Mus musculus: one gene and its partners. The protein of the gene in region 6 interacts with the protein of the main gene of each other region in a pairwise test. Links are inferred from orthologs where the notes say so. Each region holds a gene or a part of one and is shown on either strand. Other genes may lie near its edges. The genes, in order: Vamp2, Fam104a, Ubxn8, Ubxn2a, Rnf115, Vcp and Rpl9.

Region 1 (4,244 bases), on a different chromosome or scaffold from region 6:
GACTCCCCACCACCTGCAGATAATGTCGTGCTAATAAAAGTGTGGTAAGAGGACCAATGGAGACTGACTCTTCCGAAAAGAAAGAAAGAAAAAACACAGAAGAGTGAAGAGTGATGGATCAGAAAGGAAACAAAAAACTAACAAACAAAACAAAATGAAACAGACAGCGTATGCAAATGATATGCTAATCAACATGTTGGAAGCTCCCAGAAAATCTTGGGATTCTTAGGACCAAGTGGAACCAGTCTCAGAGCCTCCCAAGGGATACAAAGATGCAGCCTAGGGAAGCCTAGACAGGTGGGGTGTTCTGTTTGTTTCTGTGGGGTTTGCTTTTGTTTTGGGAGGGCCTGGGATTGTACAGGGAAGATAAGGGAAAGATCGGTTAAATCCAAGGGAAGGAGGAGAGGGGCTATTGCATAGCAGATGCAAATGAAGGGACTTGGGGCTGATCAGGAAAGAGGAAAAGGGACAGAGGGTGAGAGAGAGGTGATGGGAACCTCAGGAAGGGGTGTTAAGGACAACCGGAAAAAATCTTCTAGTAATAAAACTACAAACAGACCAAATATATATAATATTATATATGTATAAATAACAGCTGGCTATTTACAGGGGGCACACACACGGACACACACACACACACGGATCCAAGGGAGGGGGCTGAAAGATATGGCTGAGAGGTGGAGGAACGGCTGGGGGTGGGGGAGAGGCCCTTCTTAGGCAGGGCAGACTCCTCAGGGATTTAAGTGCTGAAGTAAACTGTGGAGAGAGGGCAAGAGGAGGACGAGGGAGAGGGGGAGAAAGGAGGACGAGGAGAGGGGGAGAAAGAGAAAGAAAGCAGTGTGTCAGGCCTGGCCCTGTTCCAAGCCTCCCCACTCCCCCACTGGCTGACATCCCTTCCCTCTCAGCCTCAGTTTCTTCAAAGGGACTTGGCAAGTGGGTATTGAGGTCCCTTAAACTCCACGGCTGGACAAAGGGGCATAAAACCTTTAATGCACTGGGTATGTGACGGTAGCTTTCAAACAGTGGAGTAAGTGGTATCCTGGTGGTTGGTGTTCGAGACCTCACCCTTTCCTGTCTCCTACTCCCGTTTTAGAATCCCCAGATGGAGCTTTTAGGCTCAAAGGGTTCCTAGACGAACACCAGGACCCCACCCGGTATTCCTAGTCCCAAAATCTTAACCGGATTGACCCATAACCAGGGAAAGCAGGGCTATACAACACTCAAGTTTTGGGCTCTAAATGAGTCAGAACTGCCAATAGCAGCAAAGTGTGTTTTGGTTGCAGAGTAAAAACTAGGTTAGTGACCTTCAAAGCCCAGGCTCCCCAGGGAAAGCCTCTACCTCCCCAGGGGAGGGGCCCTGGCCTCTGGCCCCACTCACCGATGATGATGATGAGGATGATGGCGCAGATCACTCCCAAGATGATCATCATCTAAGAGTGAGAGGGAGGTGAATGACACAGTGACACCCTACTTCCCCACTGCCCCTCCCAACCTGTCCCCATCTCCTCCCCTTTACCTTGAGGTTTTTCCACCAGTATTTGCGCTTGAGCTTGGCTGCACTTGTTTCAAACTGGGAGGCCCCTGCCTGGAGGGCATCTGCACGGTCATCCAGCTCCGACAACTTCTGGTCCCGCTCCAGGACCTTGTCCACATTCACCCTCATGATGTCCACCACCTGAGGGAGGGGTCCACGAGGCAGGGGGGTGTGCCAAGGCATGCCTCAAGGAGGGCACTTCTTGAACATGTGCCCATCGTGGCACAAGTGGAACATGCACCCCGATGTTTCCAGGCTAACATGCCAAGGACATACACAGAACATGCCTAGCACACCTAGGGGACATGCAAGGAGCACACATCAGGGTCATGCCGCTACCATAGCGCTCAGATGTCTCAGCAACACCCTCTATCTATAGGGCCTGGATCCGCCTATCACCAGAGCACACCTGCCCCAGCTGGCACACCCCAGGCTAGCTCAACTGATTCATCCTGCAGCCCTTCCAAGTGCATGCTAACAGGGAGACAGAAAGGGGATGAGGCAGGTCTCCGACCAAACCCACAAGCATAAACTGTCTTTACCTTCAACCCAAGATGGGCTCCCACACCTATTTGCCAGCCCATCATCTTGCATCTTTGACATACATAGACATAGACACAGACACAGACACACACACACACTCACCTCATCCACCTGGGCCTGGGTCTGCTGCAGTCTCCTGTTACTAGTAAGGTTTGGAGGAGGTGCAGGGGGGCCACCCTCGCCGGCCGGGGCGGCAGGCGGGACGGTGGCAGCGGTAGCCGACCTAAGGAAGAGAAACGGATTAAGACTCGAGGCCTGAAGCCTCTGGCCCTACGGCCGGGGCTCCACCCATCCACCTGTCCATCCACAGTCCCTCCAGTCCTCTCTTGCGCGAGAAGGCCACCCGATGGGAGACAGTCACTCTAAGGTTGAGCTGCGTGACCTTGAGAGACCCTCCTCATGCCTCAATTTCCCCTCTGGTTAAATGAGGGCGACCTCGTAGATGCTGCCCGGGGTCGACCCGAAATGACTGACGGCCATAGTGACAGGGGCGGGGCGGAGGGTGGACGCTGGGTCTGCTCCCTCCGGCAGCCATCGCCCGTGCCAGACCGCCAGGGACCCGGTTCCCGGCATCCGCCCGCAGTCATGGGCACCAGCCTGGCCCGCGGCGGGACCCCCGTGTTTCCCGGTCCACTCCTTGGGGTGGCGGCCCGCAAGGGGCAGAACATCCGCGGGTGGCGAGTGGCAGGCGGCTGACTTACATGGCGGGGGTAGCGGGCAGTGGACTTGGCAGAGGCAGTGACGGCGACGGCGGCGGCGGCGGCTCGCGCTGGCTCCGACTGGCGCTGGCTACCCGGGACTGGAAGATGGCGGCCGCACGTCACCCGCATCCGGGTACTGCGGCGTGGGCGGGGCGCGGCAGGCGACACGTCGCAAGCGGACCGCGGGGGCGGGGCGCTGCAGGGCCGGGGGTCGCCTAGTTGGGTCTGGCTGTGGGGCCAGCTCGCCAACCCACTGCCGCCCCCAAGGCACCTGCCTCTTTTGGCACCCACAACCGAAATCCATACAGCCCCACCCCCCAATACATCCTCCCTTATCTTTGAAGAGGATACACCGGTCCTTATGCCATATAGCCCAACGTCTCATCCTACGACCTGGTCCCAACACCTGGTCTATGGGTTGAGGGTGAAAAAATGAGAAGCGACCAAGGCAGGCGCCAGAGCAATACTGATAACTGGAATTCTGACGCTGGAGTGGAGGGGAATCGTGAGGACTAATCTCACCCATCACCCTGCAAGTGAATGTCTCAAGGGAGGACTGAGGCTTCTGATTTCCTAGCTGGGTCAGGGCAAAAGGAGTAACAGAAGCATACACACACACACACACACACACACACACACACACACAGAGAGAGAGAGAGAGAGAGAGAGAGAGAGAGAGAGAGAGAGAGAGAGAGAAACTGCCCATCCTTACAGATGAAGTTCTCACCAGGTGTACTACTTGGCAGGTAAAGCCCAAGCAGGCCCCAAAAAGATTAGACAAGCTAGAGACTCCAGGAAGGGCCCAGACTGTCTGGTGATACCACAGGCTGGATCCCGTCTGGGGTCAACTGCCCCCCTCAGCTTTGACTCTAGCATAGAGCCTGGGCTGAAAAGAGACAGTAGACAAGGGTGGCACCTGAAGTACTTTGGTTATAGGCACAACTTTACATGTGGACTAATCCCACACACGTGACCTTGACAGAACCAGCTGCCTCTCCCTGCACCTTAAACACTAAGCATATCATGTATGGAGACACTCAATATTTGTCAAATGGCTTGATCTAGATAACACAATAGGATATTCTCTTAGGCCTGGTCCATTCCTGATTGCTCCATTTTAAGTACACTAAACAGCCAAGGCAGCTGTACACACTCCCATCCTGCATCTAGGGAGAGAAAGAACCGGGGAGCAGCTGTCTATTTAGTAAGCCTCCAGGGTGAAGGAGGCATTTTAGGGGAGGACCTACTGATGTGGGAGTACTCATTACATCCCTGAGAGAGCCTTATTCTCAGAGACAGGCAGGGTCTGGCTTTCCTCCTCCTCCCACTCCCGGGCTTCCCAGGGCCTCCTGTGCTGCAGTGCCCAACCCCCTCCCAGCAGAAGCCCCAGGACAAGTTCTGTCATCTGAGGTGTGAGTTCCCAGCTGTCTGGGGGAGGTGAAAGAGCAGGGGAGGGCGTACTGGGT
Region 2 (4,344 bases), on a different chromosome or scaffold from region 6:
GTGTATAAGCACCATCTCTCGGGCCTCTTTTCAGTGGTCAGGAGCTAAGAATGAGCTCTACTAGGCTCCATGTTTGTTGTTCTTAGTTTTCATTATTAAATGCCTCCCTAGAACACTCAGCTTTCGATACCCTTATTAATAATTGACAAGATCACAAGTTTACAGTCGGTTCACTGTCTTTCTAGGCACCTCCTTTCCACTTAGGGAAAAACAATTGCTAGATCTATCACCCCCAGAATGGCTGGCTCCATCACTTTTCATATCTCACTTCTGTCCTATTTTCCTGGTCCTCTTCAAAGAACCTTAGGCAGACTTAAATAGAAAGTACAACAACTGGTTTTCATTTTATTATAAAAGGTCTCACCAGGTAGCCTGGATGGCCTGGAACTGGCTATACAAAACAAGTTAGCCATGAACTCGGATCCTCTGCCTCTTGAGGGCTGGGGTTAAAGACAAGCACAATCATAGTCCATCTCAAATGCTTCTTACTATAGGTGTCTCTCTCCCAATTCATATGTAGACGCTAAGGATCTGTGATAAGGCATACTTCCTTACCATACAACCACCCTTCTACAGTGTTCTCAGTCTACTGAGAAAGTCTGACACCAGAGGGGGCCAAGCTAGCTCATGGGTGATGAGAAAGAATAAAAAAATAAATAAATAAAAATTAGGCAAGAAAGGTCTGTCCTTGATAACTGGTTTTTAAAGAAGTCACCAGAAAGAGGGGGAAAAAAAGTCACCAAAATATATAAACACACTAAGATTTCTATAAGTATATTAGATAAAAAGAATCTGTAATCAGCACAAACTTACACTACTTGTCTGCAGCACTAGATTTAAAAAAATCTGTTAGTGACAGAAAATGCTGAGGGCTGTCACATGAGGGAGACATTCCAAAAGAATCTAAAAGATGGCAGTCAGCTCAGGCTTGCTGCATCTAAAGGTCACAGCCCTAACTCTAATGGTGTGACTGTAACTGGTCCATAATTCCAACTTGACCTAATTTGAACCTTCCAATGATTTCTAATAACTGGCAAGATTATGGCTTCATTCTATCTGTACAATCAGTAAGATTAAACCTTTTGGAGTACATTAATGCCATGGACCAGATTATAATTCTGGCAAGCACCTTCTAATTTCCAATTTAGTTTGATCATTTTTTTTTTGACACAAGTACAGGCTTTCTACTACAATTACTATAGAACCAAAATCAGTCACTCAATTCAGTCTAGGGACCTTAAAATTCTCACCACTGGATCAAGTCATCTCAGAATGTTGGGGAACCCCAGTCCCATGAAATAACTGTTTCAGGGAGAAGCCTTGCAAAACAATGATTACATTCATAACCAAAGAATGCAAGGAACAAGACTCAGGGCTGAGGAGATGGCCCAGCCACGGAAGACCCCTGTTAGTCCTACAGAGGACTGGGGTTTTGTTCCCAGCCCTCCTCTGAGTCTACGTTGACACTAGACACGCACGTCGTGATGTACATACATATACACAGGCAAACCACTCATACACATAAAATAAAATAAGTAAAATCATTTATGAGAGAAAATAAAAAAGCAAGCCTACGATCCACCTTCTTTAAGCCTGAGACGACTACGGAATAAAGAGCCGCGAGCCTGAATAGACTTAGATAAATAAATGAGTCTCTCTAAATCCGTTCTCTGTTCTCCACCAGAGAAATGAAAAAGTACAACTTAGCGTAGATGTAGATAGATCGTCAAGCATCTTATTAGGAGACTTTCCAGTAAGAAATAAAGCCAGCCTTCTTCATTCTGAGGTAAGGCGTCCCAACTTACTTCTTCCCAGACGGAAAATAAGGAGAAAAGAAACTTCATCTGGATCGGGCCTAAAGCCCCGAGGGGCCGCCCGCCTAGTGAGGGTTGAGAGTAACTCGTGGTGTTAGCCACCTCCCTGCTCCCAGCCAACTGGCCCCTCATCCAAACTGTTTAGAATCCTGCCTGCTAATGCTACAACCGAGAGTGGGTCACCACCCACCCGGGTCCATCAGATGAGGGAGGGCACAGCGCTGCGGTCTGCCCTAAGCCCTCCCAGCTGCAGGGGTTAAGCCCAACCCCCGCCTTTCTCCTGACCTTGGGGCGCCAGCAGCTCCCCGCCCCCGAAGCATCCCGTCCCCTCTCCGAGGCGCCTCGCTCGAAGGGAGCCATCTCTTCCAGATCGGCCATCCCTCCCATCCCCCTACCACCACCGCCCGCCTCAATTTAGGAAGGACCACACCGTCCGTCTCGTCGGGCCGAACAAACCTCATTCCGAAGCGGAAAGGGCAGAAGACGAAGAAAACAAGGAAAAGACGGAGAAGGGGCAGCCCTGGATTCCAGAGCGTCGCCTCCCTGGCTGCCCACGGGGTCCAAGTGTCAGAGGCGGCGCCACCTTCTCCCCTCCGCCTCCTCCGACCGCAGAGCAGCGCAGCCCAGAGCCTCGCACCACCACCCCGCCGGCTCCGTCCGCCCCTCGGCTCCAGAGCGCACATCCTCGGCCGAGGGGCCGCGGAGAAAGCGGGTTCCCCCCTTCCCTCACCTGGGGCGGAGGCGCTCGCTCATGGCAGCTGGTGAAGGCGAGCGACGCGGCGCCGCCCCGCGCCGACAGCGAACAGTCGGAGCTGTGTCCCGGCGCCCGCCACGCCCACCCGCACGGGTCTGAGCTCTGACCGCCGCCGCGCGGGTGGTTGCTGCGGGCGCTGAGTCCCCCTCGGGCCGACCCGGACCACAGCCACTTCCGGTGTCGCCTCCGCGCCTCCCCATGTCGCAGGCGCCGTGGTACTGTCCTCCTGCGGCTGCGCGGAGGCGGGACGCCGGCCGCGCTTTCCCATCACCGCGCACGCAGGAAGAGGCGGGTCCCAGAGGGAAGACTGACCGGGAACTTCCAGGACCCCCGTTTAGGTGTCCGGGGCAGCCGCCTGTTCAAAAACAAAACAGGACACGACGTAAAAGTCAAGCCAGATTTTAGATAAATTACATTATTTGACGATCATTGATACTTGTCTCTGCGTTAAGCCTCTCTAAGGTGAAAATTTTAAAAAGAACCAGACGAGCTCCATCAGGCACAGACGCGGACGGCCACAGGCTCAGGGGTCCTCTGGTTGGGAAGGTGTTGGTGGGCTCCGGGTTCTAAGAGTGTGCGGCGTGGAACTTCGCGTCTCCGAACGGTGCGGAGCCCGTTCCATGGAGTAGCTAAGGGCTGGGCTATTTTTCCGCGACCTTTGTTGCAGGTCAAGAGAGGAGTGCGGAACAGGCGAACGGGATAACGGAGTTCCGTACCGGGAAGGGCCACGCCCACCTGCTGGAAGAGGCCGGACCGAGAGGTGTGGGGGAGACCGGCAGGCGTGGGAACGCGGCGGTGTGGACGGAGCTGCCTCGCGGCTGGCGAGGTGAGCTTGATCAGTGGCGAATCGCGAGGTCCCTGCCCGCCGTGAGTTGCGCACACCTGTCATCCCCATTCTTGGGAGGAGAAGCTGCAAGACCAGGAGGTCAGAATCATCCTCGACTGTGTAACAAGTTCGAAGCCAGCCTGGGCTACTTGAGACCTTGTCTCCCATGTGATCTCACCACCACCACCAGAATACGTGTACTCTAAGACTTGGGGAAGTCTTAACTTTGGTTGTCAGACGCATTCCCTTTTCTCTGTCAGGAGCATAATCCAGTTCTTTGTCTAGGACTCAGTACTATCAGCTCCCCACCTTACACAAACTGATATTCAGAGTTTCTGCCAAACGTGAACAGTGATCCATAAGCATGGGGGTCTTTAGGAGAGTCGACAAGAGGTCAGGCAGGAAAACGAAACCCCTGTTAAAGTGTAGGGTGTAGAGTCTGGCGTAGTAATGCACGCCTTTTAATCCCACTACTCAGGAGGCAGAGCAAGCTGATCTATGTGAGTTCAAGGCCATCCTGGTCTACCTAGTGAGAGTTCCAGGGAAGACAAGGCTACCAGGTAAGACCCCATCATCTCAAAAAAGTCTACCGTTAAAACTGGAAAGTCCAACCGGGCGGCGGTGGCGCGCGCCTTTAATCCCAACACTTGGGAGGCAGAGGCAGGCGGATTTCTGAGGTCAAGGCCAGCCTGGTCTACGGAGTGAGTTCCAGGACAGCCAGGGCTACACAGAGAAACCCTGTCTCCAAAACAAAACAAACAAAAAAACTGGAAAGCCCATGTATTGTCTTTGTCGTGTGCCCTTCAGTGCGGCAGTGCATTCTCACTAACAGAAGACTTATGGTGCACTCGGTGGGAAACAGTTTGGGTGTGCCTTTTATGAACGATAAAGTAATGGTTGCTTTAAACAAATGGATTTTTATCTTGTAAAGTGGTTTCAGACTCAGGGTT
Region 3 (3,636 bases), on a different chromosome or scaffold from region 6:
ACCCACCCACACAAATAAAGTAATAAAACGAAAATGACATAAATGAGGTGGAGTGTGACAGCGAACACATTTGATGTCCTGTGGCCTTGTCCACATGTCACCACATACACAGGAGATCACTGCACAGAGCAGTGGCACTGTGTACTGCCCAGAATTGATATCAATGTTACTACTGGCCCTTGACTATTGTATGGTATGTTTGCGACTGTGAAACAAGGAAGAACTGGCTCTGTAGACAGCATAAGCACCCTGGCACCTTTACTGGATCCCTTTCTTTACAAGACAATGTCAGATGCCCTGTAAGCCGGAAACACAACATACACCAAAAGGTGGCCTTACTGTAAATCTGTCACAGGTATCTTTAACCTGTAAAGCCTGGGTATCCCTTTTCTCTGTAAAATACTTACACTGTAACCTTCCACTTCCAAATGACAACACACGATCATTGCCCATGATTTCAGAAACAGAACCAACCGTGAGCCATCCAATGTGAGTTTAGGGCTGGAGAGATGGCTCGGCAGTGAAGAACACCTTCTGCTCTTATAGACAACACAGGTTTGGTTCCCAGCACACACATGAAGGCTAACAACCATTCGACTCCAGTTTCAGAGACTCTGACGCCCTCTCCTGAGTACACATGAATACATGCAAGGAAAATACTCATGCACATAAAATAAAAATGAATACATCTATTTCTTAATGTGAGCTTAATACTCTGGGTATCTGAATATTTTACTTAAGCAAAGATCAGAAGTTCCTCAGAACAGCGTGACTCGGCAGTTTTCTCAGAGAGCACCTATTTGTCACAGTATAAAACCACTTCATACACAAATGCACCGAATAATAAAACTGATTCGGAGTCAAGCGCTGTGGTGTCTGCCTGCAACCCCGGCACTTACGGGACAGAGGCAGGAGAATCGCTGCAAGCGGGAGGTCAACCATGGCAACAAAATGAGTTCAAGGCTGGCCTGAGTTCCACAGCAAGACCCAGACTCAAAACCCTACCAAGCACATACATGCAAATAACTGCATATACAAGGAAACATGAGCATAAATATGGGCCTTAGCAATATATGTAAAGGACACACAGGAGCTGGGGAGATGTCTCAGTGAGAAAGCACTTGCTGCTCTGCTCATAAGGACCTGAGTTTAGAAGCCCCAGACCCATACATTAAACAGGCGGGGTGACATGGGAGTTGGGGATGGGGTGGGGGTTAGGTCAGGACCCAGACCTGTCCAGGCAGCCTAGGTAAAACTGTGAGCTCAGCTGGAGTGAGCTCTCCAAAGTAGAATACAGGACTGGGACTACCTCCAGCATGTGCCTATATGGACAAGTACACACTGGGCATAAAATGTGTGTGTGTGTGTGTGTGTGTGTGTGTGTGTGTGTGTGTGTGTGTGTGTGTGTGTGAGTGTGTGTGTGTGTGTGTGTGTGTACACGAGCATGCTCGTGCACACACACACACACACACACACCAACAGGAAACAAACAATAGTATCCAAAACACAAAAGCAGAGTTCTCTAACCTCTAGGAGTCGGTGGCCAGCGGTCAGCTTCCAGGTCTCCCCTGTCATCTGATAAAACCGCTCCTCCAGTTTTTTCAACTTCATTTCCTGCTGAGGCTTTAAAACATTCTCTATATATCTGCTGGCCTGGTGGAGCAAGAACGAGCAATTACTATACATTAGTGTTGTCTACGCTCTAAATCAAGAGCAAGGTTTGAAACCTAAGGGGGTTTAAATAGGAACGCCCCCCTCCCCCATGCTCTCATCTCTTTGAATGCTTAGTGGTGAGGGGCTGGCACGATTGGGAAATGCAATCCTTCAATGAGGAGGCCTTGTTATGCATGGTGGGGGAGGGGGAGCTAAAGCCAGGCCCAGTGTCTCTCTCTCCCTGCTGCATGCCAATCAGGATGTAGAGCTCTCAGCTACCTCCTCAACACCACATCTGCCTGCACGCTGCCATGTGTCCAGCAAAGAAGACAATGGACTAAACCTCTGAACTGTAAGCCGACCCCAATCAAATGCTTTCCTTTATAAGAGTGGCTGTGATCAAGGTGTTTCATCACAGCCATAGTGACCCTAAGACAGGCTTGTGGGAGGTGGTGTGTCACTGGGGGTGGGATTTGTGGTTTCCAAAGTCCATGCCAAAAAAAAAAAAAAGGAAATAAAAGTCGGGCATGGGGGGCTGGTGAGATGGCTCAGCAGGTAAGAGCACCCAACTGCTCTTCCAAAAGTCCTGAGTTCAAATCCCAGCAACCACAGCTCACAACCATCCGTAACAAGATCTGACTCCCTCTTCTGGAGTGTCTGAAGACAGCTACAGTGTACTTATTTTTAAAAAAAAAAAAAAAAAGTCCATGCCAAGCCAGGTGTGGTGACGCTCGCCTTTAATCCCAGCACTTGGGAGGCAGAGGCAGGCGGATTTCTGAGTTCGAGGCCAGCCTGGTCTACAAAGTGAATTCTAGGACAGCCAGGGCTATACAGAAAAACCCTGTCTCAAAAGACAAAAAAACAAAACAAAACAAACAAACAAACAAACAAAAGTCCATGCCAGCTCCAGCATCTTCCACTCTGCCTGCTACCTGAGGACCAGGCAGTAAAACTCTCAGCTACTCCTGCAGTACCATACTTATTTCCGTCCATGATGATCATGGACTAAGCAGGCCCCTAATTAAAGCTTCCTTTTAGAAAAGTTGTCTTGGTTGTGGTGTCTCTTTGCAGCAACAGAACAGTGACTAACACTCGGAAATAATTTTTTTTAATTATATATATACACACATACATATATATCATATGTAAGACATGGATGTTCTGGGAATGGAAGCACATATCCTTTATCTCAGCACTCAGGCCACCAAACTGAGACCAGAAGATCCTGAGACCGAGACCATCAGTGGCTACAACAGTGGCCAGGGCAAGTCCAACTGTCCAAGTGGGTAAAGACATCTGTCTCCACGCCTGACCACCTGAGTTCAAACCCTGGGGCAAGGAGGGAACCAACTCTTTCCGCATGTGTCACACAGACACATGAATGAAGAAGGAATAAAATGTAATAAATAAGGGTTTTTTTTTAATTGTAATTTTAAAGAGTCAACATTGAGTATGGTAATCCCAGCCCTTAAGAAGTGGAAGAAAGGTCATCCTCAATGACATTGTAAATTCAAGGTCGCCTTACAATACAAGAGACCTTGTCTCAGAAAAGAAAGGAAGGTAAAATGTTATGCCTTCTGCATTAGCCATCAGTGATTGTTCCCACGCAGATGGCGAGGCAGCCCCAAGGCGCCCTCACGCCCTCAAGCGCTGAGCCTTACCTTCTCACCCTGGGCTTCCTGTTGCCTTTCCCTCACGAGTCTCCGTCTTTTCTCATTCTCTTTTTCTCCTTCTGAATCCAAAACAAAGAAGCACTTTTTAATTCTGAAGTTCAAAGAATCAAATGCATTTTCTCTGAGACTAAGTCTTTAGATATGAACACTACATACTTTTCAAATATTCAAAACATGTGCCAGCGGTGGTGGCGCACACCTTTAATCCCAGCACTCTGGAGGCAGAGGCAGGCGGATTTCTGAGTTCAAGGCCAGCCTGGTCTACAGAGTGAGTTCCAGGACAGCCAGGGCTACACAGAGAAACCCTGTC
Region 4 (4,150 bases), on a different chromosome or scaffold from region 6:
GCTACACAGACCTTGTCTCAAAAACAAAACCAAACCAAACCAAACCAAACAAACAAAAAACAAAGAGACTATTGTATAGAGGAAAATCGATGAGATCTGCAACAGTTGCCTAGATTAGCTAGACAAAGTCTTACTCTCTCCCCCACTCCCACGTGTGCGTGTGTGTGCGCGTGCGTGTGTTTCCTCTATAGGGAAGAATAAATAAGGCTAGAAAGACGTGTGAGTAGGAAAATGTAATCAACCAACAATAGAGGAGACAGTGAATCACACAGGACATCAGAGACATTTTGTTTATTCCAAAATCAGTGTACTTTCTGGAGTGGCAAAAGGGAGAGGGGATGCTTCCAGGCTCAGGCTGAGGCTGTGAAAGTGTGGGAACCTGGAGAAGATATGCTACACTAAAAATGGTACGTCGGTACAGCAAGTATTTTGACCAGATAGCGGTTACAAGCAGTCCTGAAAAATCATTAAAAGGACAAAGACCGGGTGTTTAAAGAGTATACGCCTGACCTTGCTGTAAGTAGAATAAGGGGCATTCTGAAGTCCTATAAATCCTATCCGAAGCCAACTTCAGAGGCAGAGGCAGGAGGATCTCTGAGTTCCAGGACAGCCAGGGCTACACAGAGAAACCCTGTCTCACCCCACCCCCTAAATATATACACAAGCAAATAAATAAGTCCTCTAAAAGAAAGGGGTCTTTGTAGAGAGCCTTTTTAAGAACGCGAAGGGCGGGCAAGTTTCTTTTAACAGTCACTCTTCAGATAATAGGGCTCAGGTGAAGTTCGCTAACAGGATGCAAGAACTCTCTAAGGAAGAGCACAGGAGGCATAGAAAGAAATAGGTAAATCTGGATTATCAGGTGAACGCCCACCTAGTTCCAGCTTTCTCCGCGCCTCCTAAGGAAACAACAAGCAGCGGCACCTGCAGCAGCAAGAAGGCCACCGCCATTAGTGCGCGCCTTGCGGCAGCCTAGGAAAACCCGCCGCAAGAAGCCCCGCCCCCGGCGCGCTCCCGTTTCAGCCAGACAATTTCCTCACGGCCGCGCGGAGCCGTCCCCGGCGCGTTCCCGTCAGCCAGGCGCGCCGAGCCATCCCCGGCGCGCTCCCGTCAGCCAGGCGCGCTCCTCCGAGCCGCGCGGAGCCGTCCCCGGAGCGCTCCCGTCAGCCAGGCGCGCTCCTCCGAGCCGCGCGGAGCCGTCCACGCGCGCTCCCGTCAGTCAGGCTCGCTCCTCCGAGCCGCGCGGAGCCGGCGCCGGCGCGCGCCGGGCAGTCTGAGGGAGGCCGGTCAGATCTGCGCGGCGAGGCCGCTGGTCGCGACAGGGTTTCCCGGCGCTCCGGGGCTGAGGGGCTTCAGCCCAGCGGCGCCGGCGCTTGCCCTAGCCGGGGCACCGAGGACTAGGCCGTGGGGCCGCGCCCTGAGGTGAGTTTCCCGGCTCCAGGTCATGTTCGGTGGGTGACGTATCGGGCGGGTGGTTCCCCGGTGGCGCCCTGGGCTGTCGCCTGCGACGGCGACGTCTGTTCCGCAGTAAGTCGCCACCTGGGGCTTCTGGCCCGCGCGACTGCGGCCCGGGAAGGACGCTGGCGGACCGAGGCCTCCACCCGGCCCGGCCCGGCCCGGCCCGGCCCAGGTGAGTGCGGACCTGCAGCTGCCGGCTCTGCTGGCCGCGGGAGTCGGAACTGGGTAGAAGGACATAGCGCTTCTCTCTCTGGAGGCGTCTAGAAACTTCGGGTTAGGTGCTGTCGAGACATCTCCATTTCGAAGGCGAACGCTGCGAAAAGCGCACTCCTGAAATACAGAAGGACTAGATGGCTGAACGTTTCCTAATTGACTTCACCAGCCTTCCTTAACAGACTTTAACTGATGTTTTGGAAAGATGATGTTCACTGTTTTCCTAAATGACTTTTTTTCTTCTAGTATTCCCCCCCCCCCTTTCCTAAACTCGTGGTAATAAAAGTTTATTACTTCTCAGCAAAAATGAAGGTCAGAGTGGCTTCCAGTGTTTGTTCGTTTCTATGTAATCGAGATAAAAAATAGGGAACTGATTATCTGTTTTGACTCGGTTTTTTGTTTGCTTTGTTTTTGTTTTCTTTGTCTTTATCAAGTACCAGGCTGGACTTGGAATTCTCACACTCCCAAATGTGCTGGTATAACAGGCGTTGATTCATCTCCTGAGTTATCTTGATGTTGATACAGGGAATAACATCAATAACATCACTAACGTCAACGTTATTCCCTGTACTGGTGAAATGCAAAGGTCAAAATGTGTTCAGGTAGGAAAGAACACCTGAGTACAGAGTACTGGGAAGGATACTATAGATAGGTAGCAGTTACTACTTGAGCACTTACTTTTTTTGTTTGTTTGTTTTTGGTTTTTCAAGACAGGGTTTCTCTGTGTAGCCCTGGCTGTCCTGGAACTCACTTTGTAGACCAGGCTGGCCTCAAACTCAAAAATCCTCCTGCCTCTGCCTCCCAAGTGCTGGAATTAAAGGCGTGCACCACCACTGTCCTTACTCTTAAGAAATGTTATTTACTGAATGTGGCCAACGTTTTTCTGTATTCATATCTGTGCACCATTTTTGTGTCTGGTACCCGTGAAAGCCAGAAGAGGGCGTCGTCTTTTAAAACTAAACCACCATATGGGAGCTAGGAATTGAGCCAGGTTCTCTGGGAGAGCAGCCATTGTTCTCACTCAATGAACTATGTATGTCTCCAGCTCCTTGAGCATTTAATTCCATCCCCACCCCCCACCCCGCGCTTCTTTTGGGGGCTCAAATCCAGGGTTTTTTTTTTTTTGTTTTTTTGTTTGTTTTTTGTTTGTTTTTTCATAAGCTTGAATACTCTTTCTTGTACCTCTGAGTTACACCCCAGGCCTACATGAAGACTTTAAGTGAACTTTTACTGTGGAGCAGCACACAAATGCTCACTCACCCTAGCAGAGCACCATTGATGCTGATGGAGGCCAGCTTCCCTTGAATTTATTGGACTTACTTCTAGGTCATGGGTGACAGGTTACAGGACAGGTTACAGGTGACAGGTTACTTACAGGAGTACAGGTAACCCCAAAGCAGCTTCATTGCTGAAGTCTTACCCTCTCATGGATAATGACTTCCTCAGAGCTCATAGATGTAGTTCCCCCACTACCTCTCTCTTAACCTTGGACACTCCATAAATCCTAGAATTCAGAAGGCCATCAAGCATAACTTGTCAGCATTATATTCAGCTGACTAGGAAATGAGGGGAAGGGTTCGTGATTTCAGGGGAGGGTCTAATGACCCTTCCCACCCTCTTGTTCTATGAAGAAATATCAACGGGCTTGATCTTGAAGGTCTTTCGAAAGTCACAGCTGCTCTGATGAACGGGGTAATGGCTGTTATGCTTCAAGTACATCATTCTAATGCTTGGGAGAATTAGCTAATGCCTTAGTTAATGTTATTCAGTTTTGAAAACTTATGTACAACTAGGCTTTGTAATTCACACCTTTAATCCCAGCACTCAGAAGGCAGAGGCAGGCAGATCTTTTTCCAGGCCAGCCCAATCTATATAAGAACCTATCTCAAGCCGGGCGTGGTGGCACATGCTTTTAATCCCAGCATTCGTGAGGCAGAGGCAGGCGGATTTCTGAGTTCGAGGCCAGCCTGATCTACAAAGTGAGTTCCAGGACAGCTAGGGCTATACAGAGAAACCTTGTCTCAAAAAAACAAAACAAACAAACAACCTATCTCAAAGAAAGGAAGAGGTGGGGCAGAGAGGGAGAGAGGGACTGAGTCCTAAGAAATGATGGCGATTATTGAATCTACTTTTAGATTATATAGTATAATTAGGTAAAGAATTATTAAATAGGAATAAATGCTGGTAAATTAAGATAGAAACTAAGAGGAAGAAATAAAATATAAGCTATTTGTGATAAGGTGTTAATAGTGGATTTATTTTGAGCAGAGGTTTTATAGGTAAATAGGAATTAGGAGAAGGTTGACTTCTTAAAGAGGGAAGGGTCCATGCAAAGGAAATAGATGCCACAGAGACTAAGAGGATGGCTTCCAAGAATGCAAAGTTCACAGCATCTGGAGTATGGAGAACAGAAGGGTACTGAGTGGTGAAGAAAATCAGGGCCAGACGAAACATATCACCTTTTTATGTAATGTTGTGAATT
Region 5 (2,658 bases), on a different chromosome or scaffold from region 6:
TACAATCCCCTCTCCTGGCCTCCAAGGGCACCTGTACTCATGTGTACATACCCATTCCAACCACACACATAGATACATGATTAGAAAATAAAAATTAAACCTTTAAAGGACAGAAAGTTAAATGTTCTGGGCTCTGTAGGTAGGCTATTCTACATCAATTCTGTTACAGCTTTCCAACTCTGCCCAGTCACCATGGGGACAACCACAATCAGCTAGCTGTGCTTCAGAAGCTGCTGGAGTGCCATGGGGGGGGGGGGGGGGCTGTCCTGTGGCTAGAAGCACTACGAGAGGATGATAATTAAACAAAACAATGCCAGCAGTACTAGGGTCCGCAAGGAAGTTAAAATCTCATCTACTTGGCTCTCTGAACTGCAGCCACATCTTTACTCTGAACCAGCCTCGCCCAGCCAAAGCCAGCTGGGCCAGCTGCCCTGTCACGGGACAAGCCGCTGTACTCACCAGTTCTAACCAGGGCACGATGCAGCTGCTGTGAAAGAAGTGGTTGCAGGGTAACTGCCGGACTTTCTCCTCAACTGTGTAATCTTCTTTGCATACTGGACATTCTAAACCCGTATCTGTTGGAGGAAGATGTGCACTTTTAAAGTGACAAGCAAAAGGAAGGAAGGAAACAACCAAGAGCAGGCAAGTGATGCAGGCCTATAGCCCCAGCATGGGAGAGGCAGAAGCACGGATGGTCAAGGCTAACCTTGGCTACCAAGTCTACCTCATAAACAAAAAAGAACAAAACCAAACCAGATGTCTCTAACAACCCAAGAAACGTAGGTGTCCCCCACTGTACACAACAAGGGGATGGAGGAGAAAAGTTATATCTAAGTGGTTGGCAGATGAGACGTATGAATTGTATTCAAAATGGAGACAGAAATAGTAATAGACATGCAAATGAATGGGGCCAATCCCAATAGACCTGGTAGGAATCATATAATAGGCCCAATCTTTAGTGTAATGAGTTAGAAGAATTAGCAGAGCTGGCCCAGTAAGGTGGCTTAGCGAATAAAAGGGTTGCTATCAAGCCTGATGACCTAAGTTTAGTCCCTGGGACTCACATGATGGAAGAAGAAATCAACTTCCACAGTTATCTGACCTCCACACATGCACTGTGGTACATATGCCCACATACACAAAACAAATGGAGTTTTTAAGTTAAAAAATAGGTAAGCAGGGCTGGAGGGATGACTCAGCAGTTAAGAGCACTGACTGCTCTTGCAGAGGTCCTAAGTTCAATACTCAGCAACCACATGGTGGCTCACAACCATCTGTAATGGGATCTGATGCTCTCTTCTGACATGCAGTCTTACATGCAGAAAAAGTACTCAAATACATTAAGCAAATAAATAACTAATTCTAAAAAAAAATTGCCTAACCAAACAAAACAAGCCACAAAAAAAAAAAAAAAAAAAAAAAAACGGGTGAGAAGAAACTTATTTGTCTATTAAATAGGGAAAGCATCTTGCCTAATGTGTGACAGCCTGTCAGGCAGGTCCTGCCTAGAAAACAGTGGCAACCTGTCCACCATCAGGGACTGAGCACCCTTAGTAGTGGCTACTACCTGCCTTAACTACCTGTCTCCTGTGCTTTCCTTACTACGCTCTTCAGTGTAGCTGTCCCAAGGTCCTCTGAAGCTGTTAAAGGCTATACCAGAGGACAAGTACACTCAGGACTCCAAATCAATGTAGTGAGAGCTCCAAGTGGCAAATTCTGAATTGCAGAAATGTGGTTAATAGTATAATGGTTGAGCTATGCTCCAGGCCCTGATGATGATCAAGGAGGAAGCATTTGAGGAGAACTGCCCCTTAAGAGACTCTTCCTCCCTTCTCCTCCCTCCCATCCCTCATCCTAACTCCAGCTCTCACTCAACGTCACGGCTGCGACAACCAACAGCCTTCCAGGCAGCATCCCAACTCTAACTCTAGCAATCCAAATACACACAAAACCTCACACCAGCTGACTCCCCTAACACCAACCTCAAGACAGTCCCACTCAGTTCTACGTGGACTCTCAGCTAGCACCTCAAAATCAATAAATTCAGAATTAACTGTCACAGCATCTCAGCAGACCCAGGGCCAGTTCATGATTGTCCATCACTGATGGTGGCAGTGCTGCCTTTATAAAGCTCTGGAACCTTACAATCACCTTTAATAATCCTTTGCCTCCTTCATCTTACTATGTAATCAGTAATAAAACTAACTCTTTTTAAAATTGAACTTTTCTTTCTTCCTTGCTTGCTTGCTTATCTCACAATGTAGTCCTGGCTAGCCTAGAACTCACTATGTAGACCAGGCCAGCCTTGAACTCAGAGATCTTCCTGTCTCTACCTTGATAGTGCTGAGATTAAAGTTGTGTGCCTCCATGACAATCGGAAAATCACACCTCTAAATCTGTCTTTTCCTTTCTGTCAGCATTGCAACCATCACTAGAACACAATCTGAACTCCAGGTAGAGTCTCCCCAATTCCCACTTCTGTTCTCTCTCCTCTTCACTGCATCTAACATATTTCCAGGAGAACCTTCCTAAAGATCTCTCACACCCTTGCTCTTCCATCTGAGGACCCCCTATCAGAAGGATGAGGTCATGGAAGAACGCCAGCAGGGCTGTGTTGTTTGTTGATATAAACTATTCTTTTATTAGATGTGGAATGGT
Region 6 (4,072 bases):
AAAACTGGCAAAAGGCTTCAAGTCAGCCTGAGCTGCATACCAAGACTGTTTCAAGGATAGCAGTAATCATATTATGCATGTCTACCAAGCACTCTTCTAGAGTAGAGATGAGACAGCAAAATCAAACAAAAAAGCACTGCCACAGGAAATAGCTTACCTTCACTTATTTTGTTTTTAAAAAAGGGTCCTGCTATATATAGCTCTGCCTGGCTATGTAAACCAAGATGACCTTGAACTTGCAGTGATCCTCCTGTCTTTATTAGAATCACAGGCATGCAACACTCAACTATGTTGTTACATCTCTAACCATTACTTTATAGGGTAATGGGAGTTTCCTTAGCTCTTGTTGATTCAAAAAATAAATATGTGTAAGTCCACCAGATTTTCTACTGGCCCACATCTACGACAATATCTTCCCCCAGAGGCTGTGCATCTTGTTTGATTTACAGGAGTGCCTCAAGTTATCACTTTGTATTGTATTCTCAAAGGGGCTTTTCAGGACAACCTCCATCCAATCCACCTACCAATCCAGACCCTAGCCCTGGCTGAGTAGCAGGCCCTTAAACTCCTGAAATTCTCCAGCTACCCGTGGGGATTAGAGCTGGTACCTCCAAAAGAGCAGAGGGTAAACTCCAGCTCTCTATGTTCTTTAGGGAATCTCCTGTCATCTGCATGACTCAGGTCCTTTCCAGAACTCAAAGACCACAAAAGGAACCTGGAAATTCAGGTAAGAACCACCACAATGAAGGCAGAAACTGCCTATGATGCCAGATTAAAGGAATTCTAATTTAAAAAAAGAAAAAAAAAATCTAGATATAAGTGGGGCATACTGTGACATTCATGTAGCCCCCTTATATGGAAGGTGGTGGCAGCAAGACTAGTTCAAACACAGCCTTGACTACAAGGCTGAATTTGAGGTCAATTTGGTCTACTTGAGTCCCTGATATCAAAGGACAAAACATGGGGCAGTGGCAGCTCACACCACTAGTCCCAACACTTGGGAGGCAGAGGCAGAAAGACCTCTCTGAGTTTGAGGCCGGGCTGGTCTACAGAGGGAATTCCAGGACAGCCAGGGCTACACAGAGAAACTCTGCCTCAAAAAAAAAAGAATTTTAACTTAAAAAAAAATTGAAAGACTGACAGAGTATTTATTTTAAAAGTGTATTTTGTTGTTTTTTTTGAGACAAGGGCTCAATAAGTAGACTCCCAGTGCAGCTAGCCTATAGCCTAGTAATGTGCTATTCTGCCTTTCTTTCAGGTTCTGGGATTATGTATGTACACAAAACCACCCATCCTAGCCTAGCTATTTAAAAAAAAAAAAAAGTCCTTTTAGCCAAACAACTGAGTGAATACTTCATCCCAAAGAAATGAAACCTACAACACTCAAAACACCTAATGGCCTCAAAACCTCTGGGTTTGTATATTTTCCTACACTTGCTAGTTTTTTGTTTGCTTTGTTTTTGTATGGGAAGCTCTAGTTTCTAACTAAATGGGCTGAGATGGCTAGGTTTTATTTTATGCTCTCTGAAAGATGAAGGTGGGGCTATAAGAGTCCAGAGACTCAACATAGATGCTTGGGGATAGAGATCTGTTTATTTTGAAGAGTTAAGCCAACTCTAACCTACAAGCTCTCAAAGCTAAGATACAAAGAATAAAAACAACTCGGATTCTAACTTCAGCGCCTAAAAATAAAAGAAAACCAACTCCTTTCTAGCCACCTCCGATCATAGCAAAAACAAAAATATATACACAAAGCAAAACACTAACGAAAAAAAAAGCCCCTAGTTAAAACTTCCGGGTGTTTACAACAGGTCTCCCACAGTGAAAAACTGCCATTTGAGAAGGGCATGACTTGCCCTCTCCCTAACAGCCCCTCACTACACGTAGTTCAGAAGATGCCAACTTCCCGCAGTGACACCGTCCCAGATCCACCGAGACCGGGCTGGATTCCTCAGATCTCCCTGGCCCGGCCTTCCCTAGAGTCTCAGGGCTCCTGAGGCCTTCACGTGGCCCCAAGTCCACGCCCACCGGGCCCAGTCGCGGCCTCGGGCTTGCAGTGTTTTCCCTTCTCAGGCTCAGGGTCTTCTGCGTGTGGTCGGCGACATGGCCGACCGGCGTGCCAGCGCCAAAGGTCTCCACGCAGGGAGTGTGGACCCCAAAGTCTAACTAGGCCGGGGCCGCCGCGCCGAGGGAGCTACTCAGGCGGTCGGGGCCTGCATGACACAGCACCATCTTGTCCAGGCTCCGACCCAGGCCCAGCGCGGACCCGACCTAGGGGGCGCGCGGGTGCACAGCCCGGCCTGAGGCCCTCCCTCGTCCCTGGCCTCTCCTTCCCTCTCTCTCCCTCCCGGCCTAGACTCTCCGACGCGGCCCGACCGGGCCTAGCCAGCACGGCGGGTCCCACGGTGCGCGCCCCCGCAGCCAGCGGGAGGGCGGGCGCGCGCAGACACTTACTCGGCTCCAGAGGCCATGGCGCGCGCCTCTCCCGGTCGGCGGCTGTGGCGGCCTGAGGGTAACGGCTATGAGAAAGGCAGGCGACCGACTAGGCCGGGGCTGGACTCGCTGAGGCGGAGGAGCAACAGCAGTGACAAACCCTCTGGCAGCCTCCCTCTCGCTTCCTCCCAGGGGCACCGGGGCGGCAGGCGGGCGGGCGGGAGACGCTAGCTCCTAATCCGCGAGGGGGGCAGCGACTAATCAAACGACGGCTGCAAACGCTTCACGGAGACTGAACCGAGAAAAGCCGAATCATCGGAAGGAAAGCTGCTCTAACCCCAACCAATCAGCGCCGGCCTTGGGACTCGTGCCCGCCTCTCCGTGCCTCTCCCCAGCAACCCGCAGACCGTAACCAATCAGAAAATTCGTTTGTGGCCTGGCCCCGCCTCAAGGCTGCAACACGCCTAGTAACGCCACGTCAATTGGCCGCAGCACTACGCTTCCTCGACGGATAGGGAGTCTTGACCAATCGACAAAGGCAATAGGCCATATCCTCTTTATCCCTCGGAGGAGGCCTCTCCTACTTGGCTTCAATTGATTGGCTCCTTAGTTTATAAGCAGCTGGAAGAACCTCGCACAAAGGCCTGAACCCTTATTAGTTTAGTTGGGTTGTAATAATAGCCCACATTGTTCATTTCTCGCCAATCCTAGGGATCCTCTTACTCCACCATACTAAAATCCTTCATGCTCCTTTAAAACACTGGCTCCAACCAAGGGCGTGGTTGATGGACTAGGTCTGTACTTTTAGTAGTTGGGAAGATGAGAGGCAGGAAGACTAATAGATGGAGATCAACCCAGGATACAAGACCATATCTTTAATTCTAGTCCCAAACAGTATTTCAATAAATTTTAAAAGCAATGTGGTAGTCCATGCTTTTAATGTCAGCACTTCGGAGGCAGGCAGCAACCTGTGACTTTTGAGTCAGCCTGATCTATTAAAAAAAAAAAAAAAAAAAAGAGTTCCAGCCAGCCCAGCCAGAGCTACATAGTGAGACCCCGTCTCAAAACTAATTAGATAAAATTTTTTAAAAGGTAAAATTAGCTGGGTATGGTGGTGTACATCCTAGATCCCAGTACTCCAGAGGCTAAAGGTAGATTGAAAGTTTGAAGCCAGATAATGCTGCATAACTAAACTCGAGTCAAACAAACAAACAAACAAACAAACCAAAAAACAAAAACCTAGCCCCACCTACCCCACCCCCTCTTCTTCTCTGGACCCCAGTTCTGAATCAGCACCCCAGCTCTTACTTCACCCTATTGCCCTTGCACTCTCTTGTAATCATGCAGGTTTTGCAGTTTCTCAGGCCTTGGGAGTACACACTCCTTACCATAGAGTATAAATATTATCTGGGGAGGGAGAGCACTGAGGTTCATGCAAGTCAAGGACAACTGCAGAACACTCAGAAATGCAGTCGTGCCCAAGAGCAAGAAAATCAACCAAGTGCTGTGACTTAAGGTCCTTGTGTCCCAAAAGACAATCCATTGACTTTCATTATAGTCAAAAGATGGTTGGTTGGCTCTGGTTGACTCAATTCACCCTTCACCTCCTACCCACACAGACTGACCTGAGAGATGTTTG
Region 7 (4,130 bases), on a different chromosome or scaffold from region 6:
CCACCTGAGGCCTCCTCACTCGTCAGCCTGCTGCACAGTTCCCTTCTCAGACACATAGATGCCGTCCAAAAACTTCCTGATATCCTTGTTTTTAACTGTTGTGGCTTGCTGAATCAGGGCAGCTACACAGGACACAAAAAAGTACATAGCCAAATTCATCTCATACAAGCCCAACTAACTAGAACTCAATCCCTCAAGCCTACACAGGAGGGGCTCCTTCACTGTCCTTGGATCTCATCTGAGCAGTGGCATACACACCCCAATATAGACATAAAAACGAATAATACTTTCCCAACCAAGCCAGCCATGTGCCACCCAATTTGAACATCTACGAGCAGAGCACACACAACCATTTTGTACTCATGATACAAAGCACAGCATACAAATACCTACACAACAGATCCACAATGGATTTCTTCCTGTTTCTCAGAAGTTTGGAAACAGAAATCAGACACACATTCAACCTCAAGGCTCAGATAAAATGTTACTGTCTGTTATGACAAATATACACACCTGAATTTGAAACAAGTTCAATGTCATTTCCTTCAAGGATTAACTCATCCTTCTGGGCTTGAGAGACAGAACAAGCCACACCTGAAAGAGGTGTGTATTCAACAGCGTTAACAGGAGAGACATCTCACCAATACAACTCCATTTAAAACCCCAAGCAACCAATCAAGTTCTCTAAGACTTTAGGGTTGGAATTGAACCTCCTGTCATCTCAGATGACAAATGTGACTCCCAGATCCCACAAAAGGCTGATGCATCCTACAACTATTTCAGCATACTCCCTCTTCAGGAAAACCTCAAGCTCAGGACCACCCAACAGTCTTCACCACACCCGAACACCAAGGCTCCATCCAGACCCAAGGACAAAGAACTGTAGCAAGTTCCCATCATCCCTCAAGGCCCACACACACCTGTCCTCATCCGAACCCTGCGGATGTATTTTTCACCCAAGAAATTTCGGATTTCAACCAAAGAGCCATTCTCCTGGATGACGACGTTGATGGGGAAGTGAGCGTACACAGACCGCATCTTGTATCGGAAGCCCTGCATCAAACAAGCAACTGTGAGCCATCCTGAACAAACTCAAAGTTTTCGGTTCAGCTGGCCTAGATTTTGAGATTCCTCTTCTTCAGTTTCCCCAGGCTGAATTTAGAGTCAGCTCTAAATGCCCTAAGGTGCTTTTGTCATGTCGTGGAAATTTAACACACGCACTCTACCCACCATATGCAAGTTGCAACATCTTCCCAAAGCTCCAGGAGGAAGCTTTCTTTTACTATCTCATCCTTTGAGGGCATAAGATCCTCATTTTTGGCATTAGGCATCTGTGGAGTTACTACAGACACCACCAGATAATAAGTGACTCCAGACTAAACAAAAGGCCCAGTCCTCCCCAGGAGCAACAGGGTAACACGATCCAATAGGTATACAAAGTACAGCTTGTGTTTATAAAACAACACCTCTTCAGCATTAACTGTTTTGGGAGAAAGGATCTAGAACAGTAACTTCAGAGATGCACAAGTCAGATCTTTTTGTTTGTTTTTTTGAGACAGAGTATAACTCTGGCTGTCTTTTCTATCCATTGAGTCCCAAACATACCAGCCAGCAATCTCCACTATATGTATCTACCAACAAACAAAACCCCTGAAACAGAAGTAAAGGAGCCTGCCCAGCAAATTCCTGGGTCTGATCTGTGCTAACCCACCCCCAATATCTGAAAGTGCCTCCTTTGTAGAAGTACAGTCCATCCTGGCCCTAGACATTTATACACACCCAAGGAACCTCTTCCAAAGGGTTAAAGGGCAGAGTGGAGGGCTGACTTACCAGCGTGACACCCTTGATCATGTTCTGAACATGACTGCAGATGGTCCTGACGGTGGCCAGTTCCTTTCTGTTACCCCACCATTTGTCAACCCGGAGCTGAAACACAACAACTTTAGAATTAAAACACAGCACTTTTAGCTGGCGAGTACTAGCACGCAAAGCCATGTACAAATGCACCGTATGTCACACGCACAGGACACCAGAGGGACGACACACACACACCCAAGTTCACTCATAAAAGAACTGAGTCCGAGTAACCCACTCGGCCACGCATGGGGTGGGGGATTAACATCGGTTACCGGGTTTTGTTACAAGCAAGCACCCGAAGCATCGGAAGACACAAGTTCTTACCCTTTTCTTCTTCTTCCCAAGAAGACTCAGCTCCACGTTGATGTGATTGAAGTCCCTCCGCAGAGTCCCCCTGGGGCCCTTCACAATGACTGTGCGCCCCTTCAGAGTGATTTCGACTAAACGAGAAAGTGAACTGGTGAGACCATAGGCCGGGGTTTAGAGCATGCAGGAAAGCCGTCAGCGGCCGGCGGGGAGCCATCTACTCACCATTCTCTGGAATGTCCACAGTCTGATTGCTGAGAATGGTCTTCATCCTGAAACACAGACACCCGGGTGAGACGGCTGGGGCGGGGGACGCTCTACACCCGAGACCCGGCAGCGTTCCGCTCCCAACGGGAATCGCCAGCTACGAAAGCCGGCAACAAGGACCCAGGTGTGTCCGGGACAAGGACTGGACCGGGGGCCCCGGAGAAGAGTAAGGAAGCCCGGCTCGGTGCGCCATGGCGGAAGGGCTACGACCGAGATGGGCCTGAAAGCCCGAACGCCACTTCCAGCTCGCGCCACCAAGTCCCAAGGACGCACGTCGTGCTGGGGGACAGTCGGGACAAAGCCTTGGGGCATCGGCTCCATGCCGCCGGGGTCCCCAAACAGAGGATGGGTTCAGATTCCCGGGGCACCCGGTCCCTAAGCTCCTCACCTCGCAGTAGATGGGGCAAAGAGAGAACGTCTTTCGTCATCACGTTCTTGTAATCCGTCAGGGCCCTGCGTGTCGCGTCACGACCCGAGCGACGGCTTTAAGGCGGAACTACTCGATTGCCGAGCTAGTCGAGTCGCGCCGGTCGGCGACGACGTATCGCGTCATGACTCAAGCGACGAGTTGTTGGACGCGTCCGGTGCCGGGGGTGCTGTTCCCTCGATCCCTTGACACTCCTGAGACCTAAAAGAGGGGGATGGCTCTACGCTGCTGGGATACAGCTCGCAGCCTGGGGTCCCGGGTGAGCGGCGGGAACGCCATTGCTTATCCTAAGTTCAAAACTAGGGAAATTGTTCCAGATATCCTTTTTTTAAAAGCCCCGACAGCTGTGGCATATCTTAATTATTGCAAACTTGTTGACAACATATTTTAGTACCTGTTTTAGGAATAGAAGACATGAAAACGTGGCATGTTAAGTCACCCACTAAGGTTTTCTAACCTATATTTAGCGGTTAACTTTGATCTGCGTCCCACTTTTTTCCCCCATTTGTCATGGCTGAGCGTGCATCAGGGTCTCTGTAATCTAGGCTGGCCTGAAACTAAATTCTTAGACCAAAGACGACTCCTCACTCTGCCTCCTCTGAGAGCTGCATTACGTGTTTGAGCCGCCGTGACTTACGGTTCTTTCACCTTGAGTCTTTTTCAGGTTCTGATCTACGTAGTTTGAGCTCTTAAATCGTTTTACATAATTTCTGAATCAATTTCTTTAGCTTTGGTATTATAATGGGTTAAAACTAAATTATTTCAGAGTCTACTGAGTGAATGTTGTACTGAACCCTTTTTGTAGATATTTGGAAGATATGCGTTCACGGTTAGAGCATTAAGTTCTTTGCCAGATAAGAAAAAGGAATTTTTGCATAATGGACCAGACCTTCAAGATTTTGTATCTGGTGATCTTGCAGACAAGAGTACATGGGATGAATATAAAGGAAACTTAAAGCGCCAGAAAGGAGAAAGGTAATTGAACATTAGATTCCACTTTGACTTTGTGCATTGTTTGGTTTTGTTTGTTTGTTTGTTTGTTTTGGTTTTGATTTTTTGAGACAGGGTTTCTCTGTGTAGCCCTGGCTGTCCTGGAACTCACTCTGTAGACCAGGCTGGCCTCGAACTCAGAAATCCACCTGCCTCTGCCTCCCAAGTGCTGGGATTAAAGATGCACTGCCTGGCATTGTGCTTTTTTTTTTTTTTTTTTTTTTTTTTTTTTCTTTTTTAATCAAGCCTTGTAGGTTTTTCTGTACCCTTTGGCCATTTCTTC

Evidence for each region.
Region 1: the proteins of Vcp (region 6) and Vamp2 interact in binary tests that used the Homo sapiens proteins (3 or more experiments, as listed by UniProt). The link is inferred for Mus musculus from reciprocal best matches to the Homo sapiens genes VCP and VAMP2.
Region 2: the proteins of Vcp (region 6) and Fam104a interact in binary tests that used the Homo sapiens proteins (3 or more experiments, as listed by UniProt). The link is inferred for Mus musculus from reciprocal best matches to the Homo sapiens genes VCP and VCF1.
Region 3: the proteins of Vcp (region 6) and Ubxn8 interact in binary tests that used the Homo sapiens proteins (3 or more experiments, as listed by UniProt). The link is inferred for Mus musculus from reciprocal best matches to the Homo sapiens genes VCP and UBXN8.
Region 4: the proteins of Vcp (region 6) and Ubxn2a interact in binary tests that used the Homo sapiens proteins (3 or more experiments, as listed by UniProt). The link is inferred for Mus musculus from reciprocal best matches to the Homo sapiens genes VCP and UBXN2A.
Region 5: the proteins of Vcp (region 6) and Rnf115 interact in binary tests that used the Homo sapiens proteins (3 or more experiments, as listed by UniProt). The link is inferred for Mus musculus from reciprocal best matches to the Homo sapiens genes VCP and RNF115.
Region 7: the proteins of Vcp (region 6) and Rpl9 interact in binary tests that used the Homo sapiens proteins (3 or more experiments, as listed by UniProt). The two-hybrid records come from large-scale screens. The link is inferred for Mus musculus from reciprocal best matches to the Homo sapiens genes VCP and RPL9.

The regions. Positions count from the first base shown.
Region 1 is NC_000077.6:69,087,162-69,091,405, reverse strand, and holds the start of Vamp2 (vesicle-associated membrane protein 2), read right to left. Parts: upstream 2,879-4,244; 5' UTR 2,781-2,878; coding exon 2,779-2,780; intron 2,301-2,778; coding exon 2,180-2,300; intron 1,676-2,179; coding exon 1,517-1,675; intron 1,431-1,516; coding exon 1,379-1,430; intron 757-1,378; coding exon 740-756; 3' UTR 1-739. UniProt on the Homo sapiens protein: Involved in the targeting and/or fusion of transport vesicles to their target membrane. Major SNARE protein of synaptic vesicles which mediates fusion of synaptic vesicles to release neurotransmitters.
Region 2 is NC_000077.6:113,681,318-113,685,661, forward strand, and holds the start of Fam104a (protein FAM104A), read right to left. Parts: upstream 2,835-4,344; 5' UTR 2,769-2,834; coding exon 2,545-2,768; exon of another isoform or gene 2,498-2,544; coding exon of another isoform or gene 2,271-2,497; intron 1-2,270.
Region 3 is NC_000074.6:33,631,975-33,635,610, forward strand, and holds part of Ubxn8 (UBX domain-containing protein 8), read right to left. Parts: intron 3,386-3,636; coding exon 3,315-3,385; intron 1,654-3,314; coding exon 1,528-1,653; intron 1-1,527. UniProt on the Homo sapiens protein: Involved in endoplasmic reticulum-associated degradation (ERAD) for misfolded lumenal proteins, possibly by tethering VCP to the endoplasmic reticulum membrane. May play a role in reproduction.
Region 4 is NC_000078.6:4,904,618-4,908,767, reverse strand, and holds the start of Ubxn2a (UBX domain-containing protein 2A), read left to right. Parts: upstream 1-1,214; 5' UTR 1,215-1,419; intron 1,420-4,150. UniProt on the Homo sapiens protein: Acts to repress the ubiquitination and subsequent endoplasmic reticulum-associated degradation of CHRNA3 by the STUB1-VCP-UBXN2A complex in cortical neurons.
Region 5 is NC_000069.6:96,786,487-96,789,144, reverse strand, and holds part of Rnf115 (E3 ubiquitin-protein ligase RNF115), read right to left. Parts: intron 576-2,658; coding exon 460-575; intron 1-459. UniProt on the Homo sapiens protein: E3 ubiquitin-protein ligase that catalyzes the 'Lys-48'- and/or 'Lys-63'-linked polyubiquitination of various substrates and thereby plays a role in a number of signaling pathways including autophagy, innate immunity, cell proliferation and cell death.
Region 6 is NC_000070.6:42,997,708-43,001,779, forward strand, and holds the start of Vcp (transitional endoplasmic reticulum ATPase), read right to left. Parts: upstream 2,801-4,072; 5' UTR 2,472-2,800; coding exon 2,455-2,471; intron 1-2,454. UniProt on the Homo sapiens protein: Necessary for the fragmentation of Golgi stacks during mitosis and for their reassembly after mitosis. Involved in the formation of the transitional endoplasmic reticulum (tER).
Region 7 is NC_000071.6:65,388,558-65,392,687, forward strand, and holds the start of Rpl9 (60S ribosomal protein L9), read right to left. Parts: upstream 2,875-4,130; 5' UTR 2,819-2,874; intron 2,436-2,818; 5' UTR 2,435-2,435; coding exon 2,389-2,434; intron 2,298-2,388; coding exon 2,182-2,297; intron 1,927-2,181; coding exon 1,831-1,926; intron 1,054-1,830; coding exon 921-1,053; intron 595-920; coding exon 514-594; intron 123-513; coding exon 16-122; 3' UTR 5-15; intron 1-4. Other genes in the region: Lias (lipoyl synthase, mitochondrial isoform 1 precursor), read left to right, coding at 3,072-3,116, 3,663-3,832.